Linked DNA regions of Cricetulus griseus. The protein of the gene in region 2 purifies or fractionates together with the protein of the main gene of each other region. This does not show direct contact. Links are inferred from orthologs where the notes say so. Each region holds a gene or a part of one and is shown on either strand. Other genes may lie near its edges.

The links. Proteins that work in one complex are often made in the same cells at the same time.
Region 1: the proteins of solute carrier family 22 member 5 (region 2) and Yipf3 purify together in Homo sapiens (co-immunoprecipitation; 3 studies listed by BioGRID and IntAct, counting the BioPlex papers as one, with this or other methods). This does not show direct contact. The link is inferred for Cricetulus griseus from reciprocal best matches to the Homo sapiens genes SLC22A5 and YIPF3.

The regions. Positions count from the first base shown.
Region 1 is NW_023276806.1:255,718,265-255,720,406, forward strand, and holds the end of Yipf3 (protein YIPF3), read left to right. Parts: intron 1-131; coding exon 132-224; intron 225-386; coding exon 387-518; intron 519-689; coding exon 690-803; intron 804-929; coding exon 930-1,053; intron 1,054-1,153; coding exon 1,154-1,302; 3' UTR 1,303-1,624; downstream 1,625-2,142. UniProt on the Homo sapiens protein: Involved in the maintenance of the Golgi structure. May play a role in hematopoiesis.
Region 2 is NC_048600.1:68,012,646-68,016,166, reverse strand, and holds part of solute carrier family 22 member 5, read left to right. Parts: intron 1-997; coding exon 998-1,180; intron 1,181-2,163; coding exon 2,164-2,299; intron 2,300-2,607; coding exon 2,608-2,695; 3' UTR 2,696-3,521. UniProt on the Homo sapiens protein: Sodium-ion dependent, high affinity carnitine transporter. Involved in the active cellular uptake of carnitine. Transports one sodium ion with one molecule of carnitine.

The sequences.
Region 1 (2,142 bases), on a different chromosome or scaffold from region 2:
GAATAGGGAAAGGCATGTCTGCAGAGCAGGGGAGGCAGCAGTGTAGAGGGTGGGCCACCAGGCCAAGCCTGGGAAGGTGTGAAGAGAAGAGGCATTGCAGCCTGCAGTCTGAACGTATCATGTATTGACAGAAAGTTGCAGGTGAGCTCTATGGACCTCTCATGCTGGTCTTCACACTGGTCGCCATCCTCCTCCATGGGATGAAGACTTCTGATACCATTATCGTAAGCAGGACACAGGCCTTGCGGAAGGGCGGGTAGCTGATGTAGGCTGAAAACTGCCTGAGAATATGGTGGTGGAGTGAGACAGAGCAGCCCTTTCAGAAAGCGGTGGGTGAGGCTGAGATCAGAGGTGTCTTAGCCCTAAGCAGAGCCTTCACCCCACAGCGTGAGGGCACCCTGATGGGCACAGCCATTGGCACCTGCTTCGGATACTGGCTGGGTGTCTCGTCCTTCATTTATTTCCTTGCCTACCTGTGCAATGCCCAGATCACCATGCTGCAGATGCTGGCACTGCTGGTAAGGAGCCGAGCCCAGGAGTGGGCAGGGGTTAGCCTAAGATCAGTGAGGTGTGGTCTGAGACCCTCCAGGGATCTGTGGACTTGGGATGAGAGGAGCAGGCCAGAAGACCCCACCGAGGGCCAAAGGCCACTCCAGCCCAAGTGACGATCCTCTCATCTCTCTCCCCAGGGCTATGGTCTCTTTGGGCACTGTATTGTCCTGTTCATCACCTATAACATTCACCTTCATGCCCTCTTCTACCTCTTCTGGCTGCTGGTGGGTGGGCTGTCCACCCTGCGTATGGTAAGCTGAGCAGGTTTTGCTGTCCACCCCACAAAGGACTCTACACAGTTCTGCCCTGGGCATCTTCTCCATCCTTCACTTTGAAAACAGTGAACTGTTTTCTGAACTGTATACCTGTGGCTCTAGGTGGCAGTGTTGGTGTCAAGGACTGTAGGCCCCACCCAGCGGCTGCTCCTTTGTGGCACACTGGCTGCTCTGCACATGCTCTTTCTGCTCTATCTGCATTTTGCCTACCACAAGGTGGTAGAGGGTGAGTGGCAGGAGGGGCCTGTGTGGGGGAGTGGGCTGGATGAGCTGCCCTGGGGGCCTGCCTAACCAGTTCTCACTCATCCTCCATCTTTCTCCTTTAGGGATCTTGGACACCCTGGAGGGCCCCAACGTCCCACCCATGCAGAGGGTCCCTAGAGACATTCCTGCTGTGCTCCCTGCTGCCGGGCTCCCTGTCACTGTGGTCAATGCCACTGCAAAGGCAATAGCAGCGACCCTGCAGTCACACTGACCTCCCTGAAATCCTTGGCCATCCCTGACTGCCCAGCTCTGGAGGAAGACTAAAGGACAGTATACTGAGGACATGTGTCTCTTTGATGAGGTCTGCAGCAACCACTGAGCCTTTGCTGCCTAAACACCTGCTTGGCACCGGTCTTGGCTTCTGAAAGGCACAAGGCCAAGGAGTCCTGGCCAGGACTGCAAGCCTCTGCAGCCAGGTGCAGAATGTGGGTCAGCTCTTCTGAGGCCCTCACCACCTACCCCTTTTCTCTCCCTTCTCCTCTTATACTGCTAAATATAGACTTGGTAATTAAAATATTGATTGAAGTCTGGAACTACAGCTCCTGTTCCAGCCATTCTCCTGCCACCCTACTTCTGATACAAATTTCTGTTCTGTCAGCAGTGGTAATGTCATATGCCTGCTGTCCCTTCCTTCAGGCAGGCCCCAAGCGTGAGAGCCACAGTCCTCACATATGTATACCAGTCTGAAGTCTAGACTGACTGTACTTTTGAGAAGCCAATGCAGCAATGACAAATGAACAAAAATTTCCACTTACATCATTACAGGGACCTTGTGTACCTGGACCACATAGAGCTGGCATTTGAAGCCAAACATGGTTTTATTGAGGCTTTAGTTTTCTTTTTCTTTTCTTTCTTTCCTCCTCCTCCTCCTCTTCCTTTTTTTTTTTTTTTTTTTTTTTTTGAGACAGGGTTTCTATGTATTGTTTTGGAGGCTGTTCTGGAACTAGCTCTGTAGACCAGGCTGGCCTGGAACTCACATAGATCCGCCTGCCTCTGCCTGGCGAGTGCTGGGATTAAAGGCATGTGCCACCAATGCCTGGCTAGGCTTTAG
Region 2 (3,521 bases):
GAACTAGTAACCCATAAAAAGAAAGAGATGAACAGTCTCAGAGGCTATGGGAAGGACTTTGCTGGTAAAACCATCCCACTACTAGACAGGAGGAACCCTTTCTGACAACCTGTGGAACAGATGACAAGCCTTATTTGTCTATCACTTGCCATAATCATCCATTCCCCTGTGGCTTTTGGAATGTCTGATGGTTACTTTGAGGACTGTGATACTGGGACCCCCCTTTACAGGAACAGCCCCTTTTGTGGCAGAAGGAACCTGGGTGTGGCTGTAGTGGCTCTCACCTGAGTAGAGTGACCACTGTGTCACTAGTTATACTCATTGGGCAGTGAAGTCAGTAAGAGGATCATCCCTAAGTTCAGATGGTTTATAGAATTTTTTTCAATGACTATACTGTACTTATTTATTTGGAGGAGGGAAACATGTGTCCCAGCACACATGTATTGGCCAGAGGACAGTGTGCAGGAAGTGGGAAGAGTCAGTTTTCTCCTTCCACTATGTGGGTCCTGGGAATCAAACTCAAGTTCTCAGGCTTGACTGAAAGTGCCCTTACCCACTGAGCCACCTCAAAAGCCCAGATCTGTGAACTTCTTGAATAGACTGCAAGCATGAACTGAGCTAGAGCTGAACTCCCCCATTCATATACAAGTCCTCCACAGTGCCCTCAGGATGAGGTTCTGGGCAAGCAGCTCATCCCTAACCCAGGATGACTTCTGGAAGGCAGGCAGATCGGGCTGAGGTTCACATACTGTCTGGGCCTCTAGGTTGAGGAATACCTTTACCCTCACACAACTGAAGTGCCCACTCTCCTTTTAGTAATCCCCTTAGAAAGAAATCTAAGCCATGGTGTTTTGGTTCAATAGGAAGGTATACAAACTGACCGACTCTCTCTACCCCAAATCTGAGTTCATTTTAGGCTGAAAGTCAAGAGAACTCCTCCAGAGCAACCCTTACACTGGTCCCTCTTGCCTTTTCTATCCTTCCTTTGTTTCTCCAGAATTGTTTTATATGTCTACTACCCTGGTGATGGTAGGCAAGTTTGGAATCACCTCTGCCTATTCCATGGTCTACGTGTACACGGCTGAGCTGTACCCCACTGTGGTGAGAAACATGGGTGTAGGGGTCAGCTCCACAGCATCCCGCCTTGGCAGTATCCTGTCTCCCTACTTTGTTTACCTTGGTGAGTACCACAGTGCACTGGTGGAATGGATGGGACAGAAGCTCTAAGTAGCCTCAATATGAGCTGGACACAAGCCCTATAGTTAGCAGGATGCATCCCTTACTGGGACCTTGGCTGGAGAAGAAGGCACCCATTTCAAATGGAAAGTAACTCACAGCCCAGCTGGATGAGGATGAGAAAGTGTGAGGCTTTCTATTTCATCACAAACTACAATTTCTTCATCCTAAGAAATTCTTTAGGGAGACAGTGTTCTTTACTAGAGGAGTTTCTTCTTGGAGTTAGTAGCATGAACAAGAGGTCTGACTGATGGACTGACAGTGACCATGGCGTAGAACACTTCATTTATCCAGTGTATATATAGAAGTCAGAGGACAATTTAGGGGAGTCTTAAAATTTGTTCTTTCTTTACAACATTGGATTCTGGGGATTGAACTCAGGCCACCAGGCATAGCAGCAAGCACTTTTACAAGCTGAGCCATCTCCATAGCCCCCATTTTACTTTTCAAGACAGTGGCTCACTAAGTATGAACTGGGATTGAACTTGTTCTGTAGCCCCAGAAGCCCTTGAACTTTAGCAGCCAGTGCCCTGAGAGTAGCAAGTACTTGAAAGCATGGTACGTGGCTCTAATGGGCTGCAGCACCTTGTCTAACCAGAATGCAAATCAAACTGGGACACAGCTGAAGAGATGGAGAGTTGCTTTGTCCTGGACAAGGACCTTGTTTTCTTGGGAACCCTGCAGCTTGGTGTCTCTACTCCCCTATACATTTCCCTTATCCATTGTGGACACTGCTGGACCTCTGGGCACATCTGTGCCAGGTCTAGGTTCTGAGACCCTTTAGATGCCAGACTTCACTCTAGCTGCCCAGGCTTTGGGAAACACTGAGACCAACAGGAAGGTGAGTCCATTATAGAGTCCTGAAGAAATACAGGGCCAGAATGAAACCATATCTCACTGTAACCTGGGTCCTCTGTTTGACTGCAGGTGCCTATGACCGCTACCTGCCTTACATCCTCATGGGAAGTCTGACCATCCTGACAGCTATCCTTACCTTGTTCTTCCCAGAGAGCTTTGGTGTCCCTCTCCCAGACACCATTGACCAGATGCTAAGGATCAAAGGGTAAGACACCTTCCTCCTAACACTAGGGGTGCACTGAATCTGGGCCTGGCCAGGTCTTAGGGATCTGCACACTGTCTCACAAATAAGTGGACTACTTTAACCATGGTGCTATGAGGGCATTGGCCTGATCTGTGTAAATCAGTGACCATGTGCATGGCCATGAAAGCAGCAGCTCTAGTTTACTGCAAAGACTACAGCAAACTTCAGTATCTGCCATTTCCTTGTTTTTCTCCAGATCTGGCTTGTTTTGACACTGATAGGTATCTTTGTACAATTTGTAAGTAACATTGTTTTGCTTGTTTTAATAGAATAAAACAATGGCAAAGCCAAAACCAGACAAGGATGCTAAAGGATGGTGAAGAAAGCCCAACAGTCCTAAAAAGCACAGCCTTTTAACCCTCCAGGAGATGAAAAACAGACAACCTGCATGTTGTCAGAAACACTGTCAATGACCAGGGGCTTTTCTGTTCTGTTGACCTTGTGTTTAATGTGCTCGTGGATGGGTGCATCTGTCCTGGAGAGCCACCTTCCTCTAGGGACATCAAGACTAACCACAGACAGCTTGCACATCCATTCCAGTGGTGGCCTTGGCCCTTCCAAAAAAGTTTCTTAAACCAGTGGGACTTGGAAGACTATGTGAAACAACTGCTAGTCTTGCTTTGTTATTTTAGAAGACTGGTAAGGTTGCACAGATAGAACTGCAGGTCTGTTTTTCCCTCCTCTCCGTAACTGCAAACTCTCAGGAAATGGAATAGATGTCACTCAGTGGCAGTGTGCTTGGCTAGGATACACAGGGCCCTGAGTTCCATGCAAAGAACCAGAAAGAAACAAAACTTCTTCAGAGAAGAATAAATGATTCCATGGGGAGTTTGATTTCTCATCTTTTCTAAGTTACAAAAACCCTTGCTGTGATTGCTTTAACTCACAACAGAAGACCACAGGACCTAGGGAACCATAGAGGAAATGAAGGTGGAAGGAGATATGTAAAGTCAGCAGTGTGTGGATTGTGGCTGCTCAGTCCCACAGCAGGAGTGCTGTGTGTGTCTGGTCAGACTCCTGGGCTTGTCCCGACTGTGAGAAATCACTGTTGACGCCAAGGCTTGTCTTCCACTTCTGTGTCTTGAAGGGAATGTATGAGTGACAAAGTGTCCCTTCCTTCTCTCAGCACTGTCACAGGGGTTTGTTTTTTTTTGTCATCTGTTGTATCTTCAGCAGAGACTTG